Arabidopsis thaliana: one gene and its partner. The protein of the gene in region 2 interacts with the protein of the main gene of each other region in a pairwise test. Each region holds a gene or a part of one and is shown on either strand. Other genes may lie near its edges.

Evidence for each region.
Region 1: the proteins of AT2G31730 (region 2) and AT1G03040 interact in binary tests that used the Arabidopsis thaliana proteins (3 or more experiments, as listed by UniProt).

Annotation. Positions count from the first base shown.
Region 1 is NC_003070.9:701,966-709,984, forward strand, and holds AT1G03040 (basic helix-loop-helix (bHLH) DNA-binding superfamily protein), read right to left. Parts: upstream 4,700-8,019; 5' UTR 4,493-4,699; coding exon 4,136-4,492; intron 3,692-4,135; coding exon 3,569-3,691; intron 3,403-3,568; coding exon 3,337-3,402; intron 3,165-3,336; coding exon 3,099-3,164; intron 2,704-3,098; coding exon 2,314-2,703; 3' UTR 1,884-2,313; downstream 1-1,883. Other genes in the region: AT1G03030 (P-loop containing nucleoside triphosphate hydrolases superfamily protein), read left to right, coding at 11-54, 141-218, 311-503, 602-632, 714-772, 863-936, 1,047-1,133, 1,230-1,291 and 2 more; AT1G03050 (ENTH/ANTH/VHS superfamily protein), read left to right, coding at 5,761-6,224, 6,339-6,544, 6,636-7,502, 7,633-7,895.
Region 2 is NC_003071.7:13,485,773-13,493,084, reverse strand, and holds AT2G31730 (basic helix-loop-helix (bHLH) DNA-binding superfamily protein), read left to right. Parts: upstream 1-3,405; 5' UTR 3,406-3,746; intron 3,747-4,393; exon of another isoform or gene 4,394-4,489; 5' UTR 4,490-4,491; coding exon 4,492-4,608; intron 4,609-4,717; coding exon 4,718-4,783; intron 4,784-4,860; coding exon 4,861-4,926; intron 4,927-5,012; coding exon 5,013-5,057; intron 5,058-5,134; coding exon 5,135-5,302; 3' UTR 5,303-5,535; downstream 5,536-7,312. Other genes in the region: AT2G31740 (S-adenosyl-L-methionine-dependent methyltransferases superfamily protein), read left to right, coding at 1-21, 147-195, 417-666, 748-872, 965-1,045, 1,120-1,194, 1,302-1,468, 1,558-1,708 and 1 more; AT2G31725 (FAM136A-like protein (DUF842)), read left to right, coding at 5,694-5,822, 6,244-6,381, 6,456-6,638; AT2G31720 (B3 domain protein (DUF313)), read left to right, coding at 7,110-7,312.

The DNA of each region.
Region 1 (8,019 bases), on a different chromosome or scaffold from region 2:
ACTCTTGCAGATTTCTTGCAGTCAGAAGAAAGATGTCACTGTTGTTGATGGAAGGTAAAATCTCATATGTGGTTTTGTTCACTTCTCTTCTCATTGCTTCTACCAAAGTATTGATGCATTCTTTTTTTGCTTCTTGGAAGTTGTATGGATGAGATCTATGATAAGTTGGCGGAACGTCTTGTCCCTACAGCAGCGGCAATGTTTAGCCCCAATCTTAAGTAAGTTTGCTACTCTTTAAATGTTGTTCTGTTCTGTTAGCTGCACCCGAGTTTTTAGATAACTCCTATGAATTGTGTGTTGACTCGTGTAGACGTTTGGTCGGTTTGGCTGGTCCTCCTGGTGCCGGGAAAAGTACAGTAGCAAATGAAGTTGTGCGTCGTGTAAATAAGCTATGGCCTCAGAAAGCTGCTTCTTTTGATGCTGAGGTTAATCCACCGGATGTTGCTATAGTACTTCCCATGGATGGTTTCCATTTGTATCGTTCGCAACTCGATGCTATGGAGGTTGAGCTCATAATATTTTGCTGAGTTATATTTCTCTTATTATGTCTCTTTCTCTTTGTTGTTTAAGAGGAATTCTGTATTTTGTTTTGTCACTCTAGGATCCCAAAGAAGCCCATGCGAGAAGAGGGGGTGAGATCTGTTATAATTGTCTTATTCAAAGATTTTTTCGAAATGTTCAAACTTGGTTTGACCCTTCTATCCACTAATCAGCTCCGTGGACTTTTGATCCTGCACTACTGCTTAACTGTTTAAAGAAGCTGAAAAACGAGGTAAAGAGGTGGTTACAAAATCTTGTTGACCTTAGGATCTTGAAGTTGGGAGACTTACAATAGACTCTGATTAGTTTTCAAGCTTTCCAGGGCTCAGTTTATGTGCCATCATTTGATCATGGAGTTGGGGATCCAGTTGAAGATGATATCTTTGTTAGCCTCCAGTAAGTAGTCAGTAGCTTCCTAAATCTGTCAAATCCGAATCTAGTGTAATATGAAATGGTTTTGTTTGCCTATTCCGGAGACAGTCAGCTAACTTATGTCCTCTTCTTAGGCATAAAGTGGTAATTGTAGAAGGAAACTACATCTTGTTAGAAGAAGGGTCTTGGAAAGACATCTCAGATATGTTTGATGAGAAATGGTAAAGACTAATCAAAAGTGTTTTTTCCTTTTCTCACTCACTCGTGGTATTTGAGTTCGGTTTTACCAATTGATGTCTTTCCATCTTCAATTCAAGGTTCATCGATGTGAATCTCGATACAGCAATGCAACGTGTTGAAAACCGGCATATCTCAACTGGTGTGTACAATTTCTCTTATTTCGATTCTTGAGAACCCGCAATGACCTCAGAGAATCTCGCTTTTGTTTAATCCGTTTTCCCTTTGTGAATTACAGGTAAACCCCCAGATGTTGCTAAATGGCGGGTAAAAGCTCTGGCTCTACTCTACTTAATATTCAGTTACATGGTTTCAATGGTTTGTTCAAGGTAGCTAGCTGCTTCTTTTTTTCAAATTTGGATGGCAGGTGGATTATAATGACCGACCCAACGCAGAGCTGATAATAAAGTCAAAGACAAACGCTGATCTACTGATCAGATCTATGAACATTTGAATCTACTTTCAAGGGGGCTATTGGACGAAACAGAATAAGATGAATAACAAAAGACAATGTTGCGCTTCAAGGGAAGATTGCCTTTGGTCTACAATGTCTTTTTCTTGCAACGGAAACTTCCAATAAGCAATTTGTTCGCAGTAAACTGTGTATGCTAGTGTTCTCTGCATACTCACGGATTTTGTTCAGACAATGTGTTTTATACTTCTAAATTAGAAGTTCTAATGCATAAAGTGTTTGAATGCGCGGGAAATTACCTAATTATAATCAGTCCAGCTCCCAACTATATCATTTTGAATAGTTAAATGGTCTATCCAAATTAGTGCAAGAAAAAAAAGAGAGGCAAAACCATAATATAATACCAACATTTGTTTTTTCTTCCTTTTTTACATAATTCAGAAACACGATCCCACACCTTCATTACTATTACTACAGCTAGCACTACCCTCAAAGCCCTTGGTCCTGAAAATCACACTAAAGTCTTTGAACAAAAAAGAGTTACTTTCATCAAAATGATAAATACTAGCCAAGCAAGCGAGAGCTTTTTCCTTCTTTTGACAGATCCCGTTTTACTTCTTTACTGCACAAATCCTACTTAGATTCCATCTCCAATGCCTTTTTACTTACCTTTCATGAGTCACAAAAGTCTAGTAGTGGGAAACAGAGCAAAATGTCAATCATCAGCTGGGGACCGTTGGATGAACAAAAATCTACGGTGGAGGATTCATCTCTGGTTTGACGATTGAAGAAGATGTGTCTGGTGGCTGAGAATGGTAAATCGCCATTGCCAATGAGATCGGCATTATGCAAAGAGCCTTTGATTGCAAAAGTTGCATCGCTGCTCCAACGTTTTCTTCCATCAGCTTAGCCACTTGCCTCTCTGTCCCATCGTTTGACCATTTCTCCCACACGGCCTGCGTCTCATCCTGAAGAAAGTTTTTACACCACAAGTCAGTGCAAGAAAAACCATTACCAAAGTTCTGTTCTTTTTTTAATGAAGTATCTCTCTCTAGTCTAACCTCAACTGATGAAGATAATGGCATTTCAGTGACTAGTGGTGCGACAGCACCGGCTCCACCAAGACGGCTCATGCTCAGGACCTGCCATAGTTGACCAGAGATAAAGCTTATGAAGGAAAAATATTATCAAAGCCCATCATTGCATAAAATATTCTTCAATGTTCTCATTAGCTTTATTACAATAGTCCTCAATTGTGATGATTCTCCATGGGAGGGAAGCAAGCAAAAAGTGAAAGACACTAATGCCAAAAAACACACAATCATGTACTCTTTGATTACTCTTTATTGCCAGATTAAACAATTATAATCTTTTATTAAGATTGGAAGTTTGGTTTAAGAGAGTAGGTGGTGGTGGGGACCAAGGATTTACACCACTAAATCCTTCTGGCTGTTTTAAATAATCTTTCTACAAACTTTTAATGATAGCATTTTCAAAAACCAGAGAATAGAAAACTGAAAATGACTTGGGTGTTTACCTTAACTTGGAGCCTGAGAAACTTTACATAATCGACAATCTCGTCGATCATAGCAGCCCTATCTGTCTGCAAAAGGAAAGCAAAAGAAACAGATGTGAATACCGCAGTTTCTATATGCCAATCACAAAACTTTTCTCTCATTGACAACTCTAGTTTTCTCCCTACTTTTAAAATCTCTTTCAAGCTCTCTTCGCGACATGAAAACAGTAGCTGAAGCTCTAGAGAAAAAGATACCAACCTTGTTAACGGTAGGTACAAGTTCCTGCAACGACCTGATCCGTTCTGCTATTCTTTCCCTTCGGAGCTGTTGCAAAGCAAATACATTCAGGTTAGGTCTTACCGTTCTTAGTAAGTAAGAACTAATCGAACTTTCTCAACCAAAAGCTATAATTAAAGCTTTGATCAAACATTATCACATAAAAATCGAAAAAAGAGACCAGAAGATAAAAAAAGTGTATCAAACATCTTACCCTCTCAGCGATGCTATGTGGATCGGTAGCTTGACCTCGCCTAGCCCTAACTCTAGGCCGAATAGTAGACTGTTGATGCGGCATTGGTGGAGCTGGCTGTGACATTGGCTGCCCATGGAAAATCTTCAACAAAACACAAAACAATGCCGTAATAACATTAAGAAAAGCTTAAAAACCGCTTCTCACAAGAACGGTCGCCACTAGAGTAGTTATAGCAACAATTCAAACTATGACGGAATTATCCACATGAGAAAAGAAACTAAAGAGCAAATTTTCTTACAATATAATTTGGACATAAAAGAACACTCTTTTATACTAAAGTTTCTTGCAAAACTAATTTTAGTGTTATGACTTTAAAACACATCAAAATCTTCAACTTGGGTTTCTTCAAAAACATCAAATCTCACCAATCTGAGCCAAAAACTCTCGGTAACTATCAAATTTAGACCTAAGCTGGGTTTTCTCAAAAACGACACCATTTTGAAACCCTAAAGATTTGAATTTCACTTTATTTTCTCGAGAACACAAAAGAAAAAGACAAAGTGAAGATTCTGAAGAGAAACTTACAGGTTTCATAGAGGAACATCGATTATCAAGAACATCGTCTTGGAAACGTTTACCAGTTTCATCAGGTTTAAGAAAGCCATGTCCTTTCCCTTGATCGAGACTTAATCCCAACGGAAACATCTGATTATGAAACCCTACAGGTCCACCTCCTCCAATGGCACCCATATGATTATGATTCCCTTCGTTGCCTGAACCAAGCTGAAGCATCATCGGAGGTGGACCCACGCCGCCGATTCCAGAGAGACCAGAACCTGAAGAACCGGAGAAGTTGGAAAGCCCGAGGATCTGCTCGAAGAAATCGTCGGTAGGAGATGGATCGGAGATGCTATCATGTGGGATGTTGTTGTTATTAGCCATGAAGGAAACGAGTAAAGGTTTGAAATTTTCGACTCAGTGGAGCTGGGTGAGTTAAAAGATAGCGAGTTAGAGAAGAGAAGTCGAAGAACAACTTTCCATGCGAAGAATCTTGTGTGGAGTTGTTAGGTGAGAGAATGATGATGCTTAAGCTAATGAGGACGAAGAGACACAGACGAGAAAGGATATGACAAAAAGACTCACTTTATGCTCTCTTTCATTTTATTTTTGTTAAAAGGACCTTACTTTGTGGTTTATTTTCGGTTTTGCCCTTGTTCTTATATACCTTCCAGAAACTTGAAGTGGGCTTTATTTGTTTTGAAGTGGGCTTTTTGTTTTGACTTTCTTCAATTTATTCATATCAAATTAAGAAAAAGGTCTTTTACCAAACTCTTTTTAGTAGAATGTTAAAAACCAATATAACTTTCTTTTTTTAAAATATATAAATGATATGGGAAAAATTCTACGCATTGTCGGGGTCGTCGTCATCTCGTTAGTGGTAGAAAATAAGATTTTTTTAAAAAAATCTGTCTTTGTCGTTTTTTCCGAAATTTAGCACTCATGGAGTAAAGTTTCTAATATCCAATATAAAAATGACACGTTTCATTTTGCCATATGGTATTACAACTTGCTTCTCCTTAGTGCTGAACCGTTGTCCGACTCGTTTTCCATTTTGAGAGACAAGGGTTTTTCTATTTTTCACAAAACAAAATTGTGGCATTTCTGAATATAATACGAGTAAAAAATATGTCAGCAGAAATGGGCTTGGATCGATTTTGATTTGTTGGATTCCATAATTCAATCTTGGGCTTCCAATCCATAAGAAAAAAGCTTGGTGTATTTTTTTTTACAAATTAGAAGAAAGTTTTTTCCTCTTTAATCAGTACTCTTCTCCTTACCCATTAATGGCAAATGCAAACTAAATTTCAGTTGACCCGTCAAACAATAAGTTAATTTTTTGCCACGTGGCCATATTTCTCACCGGACAAAGCCTCCAATAACCTCGGCGACTTTAGATGGTGAATAATCGACGAACAACAAAGAAACTACATTGACGAAACAAACAAACAAAAACATAGAAGAAGAAGAAGAAGAAACAAAACAAAACTAAACAAGAAACAGAGGAGAAAAAAGGAAACGACGAGGAAAAACAAAAACAAAATAAAAACAAGCCTCGTTCTTCCCTTTTCTCTCTTCAAATCTTTTCTTTTACATATTTTCTTTTCTTTTTTTTGTCTTTAATACAAATTTACTAACTAATCAGAATAAAAATGGGTTCGAGTAAGTTTAAACGAGCCATAGGAGCCGTAAAGGACCAAACCAGCGTCGGTCTAGCCAAAGTCAATGGTCGAAGCGCTTCTTTATCTGAACTTGACGTAGCCATCGTCAAAGCCACTCGTCACGAAGAGTTTCCAGCAGAAGAGAAATACATTAGAGAGATTCTTAGCCTAACTTCTTACTCACGCAGTTACATCAACGCTTGCGTTAGCACGCTTTCGAGACGCCTTAATAAAACCAAATGCTGGACCGTTGCCCTCAAAACCTTGATTTTGATCCAAAGGCTCTTAGGAGAAGGAGATCAAGCCTACGAGCAAGAGATCTTCTTCGCCACTCGCCGTGGAACAAGGCTTCTCAATATGTCTGATTTTAGGGATGTTTCGAGGTCTAATTCTTGGGACTACTCTGCGTTTGTCAGGACTTACGCATTGTACCTTGACGAAAGGCTTGATTTCAGGTAAGAGTTCTTGTGCTTGATCCAGGTTCCGATTCGGGATTTCAAGTTATTTATGTAATTTGAATGATATCTAAGATATGCGGTTTTTTTTTTTTTTTCATTGCAATTTTTGAGGATGCAAGCGAGACACGGGAAACGTGGAGTTTACTGCGTTGGAGGAGAAGCTGACGAAGAAGAACAGGATCAAGCTGCGGCAGATCTCTCCACGGCTATCGTGGTCAGGTCACAACCGATCGCCGAGATGAAAACAGAGCAGATTTTCATCAGAATCCAACATTTGCAGCAACTTCTTGACCGTTTCTTGGCTTGTCGCCCAACAGGTAATAACTTGCGTCTCAAGATTTCTTTCTCTGTGTGTGTTTGTTTCTTGGATAAAAATTTATATAAGGACCAATGTTATTTTGTTAACAGGTAATGCGAGGAACAACAGAGTTGTGATTGTGGCTCTGTATCCGATAGTGAAGGAGAGTTTTCAGATATATTACGATGTAACAGAGATAATGGGGATTTTGATTGAACGATTCATGGAGTTAGATATTCCTGATTCGATCAAGGTCTATGACATTTTCTGCCGGGTCTCGAAACAATTCGAAGAGCTCGATCAGTTCTACTCTTGGTGTAAGAACATGGGGATCGCACGGTCTTCTGAGTATCCAGAGATAGAGAAGATCACACAGAAGAAGCTTGATCTCATGGATGAGTTTATAAGAGACAAATCTGCTTTAGAACACACCAAGCAATCAAAATCTGTTAAATCTGAAGCCGATGAAGATGATGATGAAGCGAGAACAGAGGAAGTAAATGAAGAGCAAGAAGATATGAACGCAATAAAGGCCTTACCTGAACCTCCACCAAAAGAAGAAGATGACGTAAAACCTGAGGAAGAAGCAAAGGAAGAAGTGATCATAGAGAAGAAACAAGAAGAAATGGGTGATTTACTTGATCTTGGGAATACAAACGGCGGTGAAGCAGGACAAGCTGGAGATAGCTTAGCGTTGGCTTTATTTGACGGGCCATACGCAAGCGGTTCTGGTTCAGAGTCTGGTCCAGGATGGGAAGCGTTTAAGGATGATTCTGCGGATTGGGAAACAGCTTTGGTGCAAACAGCTACAAACTTGTCAGGACAAAAGTCAGAACTCGGAGGAGGCTTTGATATGTTGTTGCTTAACGGAATGTATCAGCACGGCGCTGTAAACGCTGCCGTGAAAACATCGACGGCTTATGGAGCCAGCGGAAGCGCGAGCAGTATGGCATTTGGTTCTGCAGGAAGACCAGCAGGTTTTAAACAAACATTACTTTGCTCTGTTCTTAAACTTCTTAGAATTTTTTGCTCTGTTTTTAGTTATAAATTTTGCTCTGTTTCAGTTTGCATTCTGATGATTTGACATGAATATTCTATTGATTACAGCAACTATGCTGGCACTTCCAGCACCATCAACGGCTAATGGAAACGCCGGAAACATTAACAGTCCGGTTCCCATGGATCCATTTGCAGCGTCATTGGAGGTTGCGCCGCCAGCATATGTGCAGATGAATGATATGGAGAAGAAACAGAGGATGTTGATGGAAGAACAGATGATGTGGGATCAATACTCTAGAGACGGAAGACAAGGACATATGAATCTAAGGCAAAACCAAAACCAACCTTACTCTTACACACCTCAATATTGATTGTGCCCCATAGAAGAAGCTCTCCTTGAGTTGTGACAGCTTTTTTGTTGTCTACCAAACAGTTTGGTCTAATAGATCTACTAATCTTTTTGCAAATTTCTTTTTTTTGTTCTTGGGTCAAATA
Region 2 (7,312 bases):
TGATGATGAAGCTCGCATTCCGTATGTTTATCGGATTTTTTTTTTACTATATTCTCCATGATTTTTGGTGCAACAGTAATCCTAACTCATTTTGTTTCCGCCATTATTGCTTGTTAATTAGTAGTTGAATTGAATTGGTGCTGTAGGTATATGATGGCAAGTGATGGGATAAAAAAGCGTGATACTGTCCACGAGGTATTATTACTAGATATACCCAATTAATCACTTAATAAAACTGTTATTTGTTGTCTCTTCTATTTCTCGCCTTTCACAAATATGATCATCGTTTCCTTTATTGATCTCCGTGATTAGACTTTTATCCACCACTATTTTAGCAAATTTTAATACTACTGATTGGTTAGAATACGTAGTTATGGGGATCTTTTTTGTTTCTTACTATTCATTTCGATTTGTAGGTTACATCTCCTATGACTGGGAAAGTGGTTGTTGAAGATGTGGTTTATGAAAGCGCTCCTAGTAATTTAGAAGACTTGTCTACTTCTAGTGATTTGGCATTTCGACGACTTGTATTCAAAAGGACTGAGGGTTTGATACAGTCTGAAGCTTTGCTTGTAGAGGATGGTGAGATTCTTGAACAGTCTCAGAAAGAAAAAACTAAAAATGTTTCCCAATCGAAGCGAAAGGGAAATAAAAAGCAAAACCAAGGTAAAAATCGTACTTCTGTAAGTGTTTTGATACATTTCAGGTGAAAAGTTTCATGATCTTTTTTACATGTATCCATTTCAGAACCGAGCAGGCCTCTTATGAGGGTCTCTCATGATTATCTGGCTAGCTCTTACCACACTGGAATTATTTCTGGATTCACATTGGTATCTTCCTACTTGAAGAAGGCTGAGTCATGCGGAACGATGGTGAGCATTATTAAGTTGTGGCCTCACGGTGCAACCGATCTGAATCTTTTCTTTGCCTTGTACTGATCCAGAAATGTTCTGATGCTTTTCAGGTTAAGACTGTTGTAATTGGTCTTGGAGCAGGATTACTTCCCATGTTCCTCCATGGATGCTTGCCATTTTTCAGTATTGAGGTAATTTCAGTTTAAAGGATTAATCAAGTTGAGTATTTTCTATTGCCACTCATATTCTGTATCCTGTTGAATAGGCGGTTGAGCTTGACCCAGTAATGCTTAGTGTTGGCAAGGATTACTTTGGTTTCACACAAAATGATCGCTTGAAGGTAAAATTCTCCCTCTTTACAACAAAAGTGCTGGCTAAACTTTAACATGTTTATATTCTATTCTATTATATGCACCATCACTCAGCTCGTTCGCATTCTTATAATAGGTGCATATTGCTGATGGGATCAAATTCATTAGAGATATAACAAACTCTGAAGCTTCGTCTGAGGAATCGTCAAACATTGGCTCAAATGGAGATTCAACCACTCACAATACACAAGGTGGAATTTGTCCTGACATTTTAATTATAGATGTGGATTCAGCAGATTCAAGGTAAAAGACATGGCAAGTAAATTCACATATCTATGAATTTACCCACATGGTAAGCCTGATTGTTTTCTTGTTTGATCTCTTGTCTGCAGCGGCGGATTAACCTGCCCTGCATCTGATTTTATCGAAGAGACATTTCTTCTTTCGGTTAAGCAAGCTCTCCCTCAGCACGGTCTTTTCATAGTGAATTTGGTCACGAGATCACAGTCCGTCAAAGATATGGTAGTATCAAGAATGAAAAAGGTAAAGCAAATGTGATTCATTCCTTGTAAATTCTCTGCATATTTTCACAAATCTGATCTGATACTATTGCACGGAAATTGAGTCATAGAATTGATCTCTATTGTTTTGTTTTTTGCCAAGGTTTTCGATCATTTATTTGGCCTGCAACTAGAAGAGGAAGATGACGTAAACGTAGTGCTCTTTGGGCTTTGCTCTGAATCTGTAATCAGCGAGAACGATATTCCAGAATCTGCAGTTATACTGGAGGGATTGCTCAAGTGCCAGAGATTGGAAACGAAGCAAAGCATCATAGACGCTACAAAGAAGCTGAAATGCTGGAAATAAAAACATTCTTTATTATTTCGTTTTAAAAAGACGTGTGAGATATATTTCTGTTATAAGTTAAGATTGAAATTTTTGAGACTATATTATATACAATACACCTAGTTTCGTCCATACGCAAATGGAAAATGAAGCGTGGAGTTTTTTTCATAACCTTTATGATTGTTAGACCTACCAACTTATTGAAGCATTCAATTTGGATGATAGTGAAGTTGGAATGTAAGTTAAACATCAATGTCTTGATTAATTTTGTGCATTTTTGGGAACTATCCGTATTGTTTCTGATTTGAGTGATCTTCCTTATTGTTGCTAAGAAATGCTCGAATGGTGATTAGCATAATTGCTGTTTATTCATTGGAGCTATAATAATTATGGTTGTAATATTGTAATTTGGGAAAGAAAGCCTTTGATACAGGCCGATTTTGGTACGTACGTAAGAGAGATATAAATTGAAACACCTAAACCAAAATCTGGTCGCCGCGAAGACAAAAGAAAAACATTTGTGGCAAAGAAACAAATTCAGAAACCGCGTGGGTCCGATATGGAACGCTGATCAATTGGACATTTGTAAACATTTCAAATATTTTGCATGTAATCAATATTGTTGTTATATTTTTTGCCTTTTAGTTATAGTTAGGTTTGTTTTTTCTGTTTGTTTGGTTAGATTCAACTATTTGTTTATGCTTTTCAATTTTGGGTTAGTATTTAGCTGTTTACTTTGGAGAAACAAAAGAAGATAGATTCTGTTCCATATAAACAAAAAGCTGTGTCGTTGAAACTTGAAAATGTGAATATACTCGGATATCAACCAAAGGGTACGCTGCATTAACCAACCTCCCTCGTAGAAAATTTCAAAGAAAGGATAACAAAACAAGAAAAAGCACAAAGTTGAAAAAGAAGTGACAGATGCAGAAGAATTGGTCAAAATCATTTTGACAAAACTACATAAAAAACAATCAAATGTCACTTTCAAAATTATTAGCTTATTTATTATTTTATTATGAAAATAATGAAAGCGACTTCTATCTGGGACTGGTAAAAGGACCTCTCTCACCATTGGTTGTACATTAGCTGTCAAATTTTTACATTTCCATTACATTCCCTAACTCCAAATATATACACTAAACTAAATTCTTCAAGTTACTTCCTAATTACTACTATAGTAATTATTTCCTAACCGTCAAATAGTACTGAATAACACATATAATATAGTTTCGATTGATTAAGAGATTTGAATTAAACAGAATAAAGTTTTACGATTATATATTCTAACAATTTATTTGTCTCACAAAAAAATCTATAGATTTAATGAGAATTAAATGAAGAGGACGAAAGGAAAAACAAAATGAAGAAAAAGACATATGAAACGTAGTCCCCTCTTTTCTTTGCTTTCTTCTCTACATAAAACTAAAACTCCTCTCTTTCACGACCCTTTAAGTAACGACGCCGTTTTCATCCAAACACAAACCTCTGGAATCGTGTCACCGTTGGAGCTCCGGCTTCATTAATGGCTTTCTTCAAGACCTGAAGACAAAAGAAAGTAAAAATATATATACACTAGAGAGACCAAGATCCTCGTTTATGGGTTTCATCGTGTCTTGTGCTTAGGGTGACATAAATACCCATTTAGAGAGCTTAGACCAAGAAGTTTTAGAGTTTGTGAAGTTACTTGTTGGTTAGTCTGCTGTTTCTGGCAAATGCTGAGTCTCTTCTCTCTGTAAGTTCTTTTTTCTTCATTTACTCTGTTTTGTTCCCCATTTTTGGTCTTTTTGACTTAACTTAGAGTATTTTAAGGCAAAATAAAATCATGAATCTTTTGGTATTTTTTGTTCTCATCTTCTTGTGGGGTTTTTCTATTGAAGTTTGCTTAGCTTTGAATCTTGTCTAATGGAGCTAACTCGATCCAAAATAAAAACACGTATAATGATTAACTAGTTCTGCTCATTAGATGAACTAAATTAATGAGTTAATTCCGTAGTTTCATGCATCCTACAATGTATTGTCTATGTATGGAAGCAAAGTATGATATCATATTTAAACATCTATGATTGTGCTACTAAACTTTAAATAATACTTTAAGCTGATGTGATCTTATATGGATAACCTCTGACCATTATCTACTTTCTTTGACCATTGCTCTTGTTTTCTAATCCAAAAGTCGTATCTTCCAATGCATTAGTTGGTCCAAACCTAGATTTGCATCCCTTAATTTGTAGTAGTTAACATCTAATTTTGATGTTAAAACCAAGACACCACTTTGTTTGTCTGGTCTGAGAATATCTCAAGGCGTATAGTTTTGTCCTTATGACGCTTGCAAAAGCAAGTTGTTGAGTTGTAATCTTATGTTTTTTTCTGCAACTTGCCTTGGATGAAGCCATGAGATTATCTTTATAAATGGTAGCAAGTAAACCGGTTTCTTATGTCGAAAAACCGATCATTTTTGTTTTGTTTGATGACAAGGAATGGAATACTCTAGAGACTCGGCAGAGATGATGATGGAGACTAAGCGCAATGTCTACTCGCTTGAAGATAACAAAATTAAACGACACAAGTCATCTGATCTCTCTTTCTCTTCCAAGGTCTTGTGATACATCAAAATCAAAATTCATTGTGGCTATGAAGCTACCGGACATTTCTGTACCAGCATGCTAATGATCTTGAAACTTTGTTGTTCTGTGGTTTAAACAGGAGAGGAAAGACAAATTAGCAGAACGTATTTCAGCTCTTCAACAACTAGTTTCCCCTTACGGAAAGGTACTACTTGGTCCGAAATAATCTTTCTTACACGCTCTTTGTCTTCTCTAGCCATGTTCAAGTCTCTATCTATGCAGACCGACACTGCATCAGTTCTTCTAGAGGGAATGCAATACATTCAGTTTCTTCAAGAACAAGTCAAGGTCTGCTCAAGTTTTCTAATCAAATACTTTTCATTCATTCACCTCCTCCAATCCAATGATGATTATGCTTGATTTTCTCTGTTCAGGTTCTAAGTGCTCCTTATCTGCAAGCAACCCCTTCTACTACAGAGGTGAGCTGAATCTATGATCTGGATCTCGTTTACTTGGATCACAATGCAAGACTGATATTTTCCATCTCTGTAACTAGGAGGAAGTGGAAGAGTACAGCTTAAGAAGTAAAGGGCTATGTCTTGTTCCATTGGAGTATACATCAGAAGTTGCTCAAACCAATGGTGCTGATATTTGGGCTCCTGTGAAGACTCCAACATCTTCTCATGCTTTTAATCTCTCGTCTTCTAATTCGCCCTTTCAATGAGCTGCTGCTAAATTCTCTGTCTCAAGACTAATGAAAATTAGCCAAAGCTTTGGTCTGATCATGTATTGATGGAGAGACCTTGAAGTCGGTGATGGCTGTTTCTGTTATTTTTTACTGCTTAATCCCAACTCTGTGGTGGCTTCTTGTAACAATTGATTCTAATGCGAAGTTTAACGGACCGGTCAATGACCGGAATTAGCTTCCTGTTTAATAAAGTTTGAATTGGTGAAAAAGAGTTAACCGGTTTAGAGAAACCCGGGAAACTTAACCCGACCCAAAATTGTCAAACCCGTTTTGTTTGCGGCTATTGAAGGATCTTCTATTGAAGAGAGCAGCTAGCTAAAACCCTAAAGCCCTAAAATCAAAATTACGCTAAACAGAGAAGGCGACAATGGATCACATCGCTGCGGCGGAAGAGCAAATCGTATCGGAGAGACTTCGAAGAAAGCTTGAAGAAGTTAATGTAGCTGCTCAGACTCAGCTTTCTCCTATCCAAGATCACATCAATTTCACCCTTCAGGTATATACAAAAATCTGTACTTTTCGCGAGCTCAGCATAAATTCTCTCTGATATAACAATTTAGCAATGTTAGCTTCTGAATATGGAATCTTTATTGGTTTGATACAATGCTAGTTTCAAATTTGATGAATTGAGTAGGTTCATGAAAAAAGTCTGAAAATTTGCATTTGGGTTCGTACTATATTCGTCTTTAGACACTATGGATTAGGTTCACGACAATTGCTCTGGTTTAATTACTATATTGTGCTCTGTAGGATATTCGATAAGTAGGCGTGTCTCGTTGCATAACAATTGCTCTGCTTTGTCTTCAGAAGCATGAGAGTTATTAACACCTTCTCTTGTGTTTTTGGGTTGCTATATTGAGTTATATGATCCGTTGATTCAAATTAATTAAACCCTGACAACGATATCATTGTTGCAGCAAGCTTATTTCAAATGTGCATATGAGTGCTTTGATAGAAGAAGAAAGCAAGAGGAGATAAGTAACTGCGTCGAGCACTGCAGTGTTCCCGTTGTCAAATCTCAACAGTATTTCGAGAACGAAATGGCTCAATTTCAGGTAAAGATATCTGCTAAAAGATGATACATAGTTTGCTGTGTATAAAGACTGATTTTTGTTGAATGAATGTATAGGAAAGATTGAACAGATCACTGGTGGTGTGTCAAGACAAGTTTGAGGCCTCAAAGCTCCAGAAGATAAGGCCTGAAGCGGTTAACGAGATGGAGAGTTGTGTGCACAAATCCATTGAGGAAAATCTCAATACATTACCACATATTGTGCAGAGAATGAAGACAGCATTTAACATAACCAACTAAAAGCTCTCGTGAAAAACCTTGGATTCCAGAACTTGACTAGCCATATTGTTTGAAAAGACCTTTTCTTTTGTCTTAATATGATCTACAAATTTGTTTTCCTTTTTCTTATATTAAGTTTTAAAATTTGCCACTGTTTTGGAATAACTGTATTTGCTTGTTCTTCATCTTCCCTAGCGAAAACTTTAAAACTCTATAAAAAAAAATTGAGGATAAATACATGAATTTAAAGATTGAACCGAACAAAAGAGACTAACCAATAGAATAGAAGCAAGTAATTTAGTGAATATCTAAAACTAATATAAAAATATATAGAGATTATCACTAACAAAAAAAAATAAAAAATAATAGAGAGTTATATATACCTTTGTTCGTTTGTGAAAGGAATTGACAATCAGAATCATATAAAAGCAAGACTATAAACTCCTCTCTGCCGCTTAACTCTTTCTTCTTGTCTCTCTATTTTTTATAACAATGGTGAGAGGAGATGATCAACTTAATGGTTTGCAGGGAGGGAAGAGAGCGTTAGATATTTTATGTGTAGCGACGGAGAGAACGGTTAGCGCTTTTGCATATGAGGAAATAGGAGAAACATCCACTGAAGGTGATAAAAGGAGGGAGAGACTGAGAAGACTGAGAAGATTAATTAATTACAGTCTGAGCACAACTATGAATTC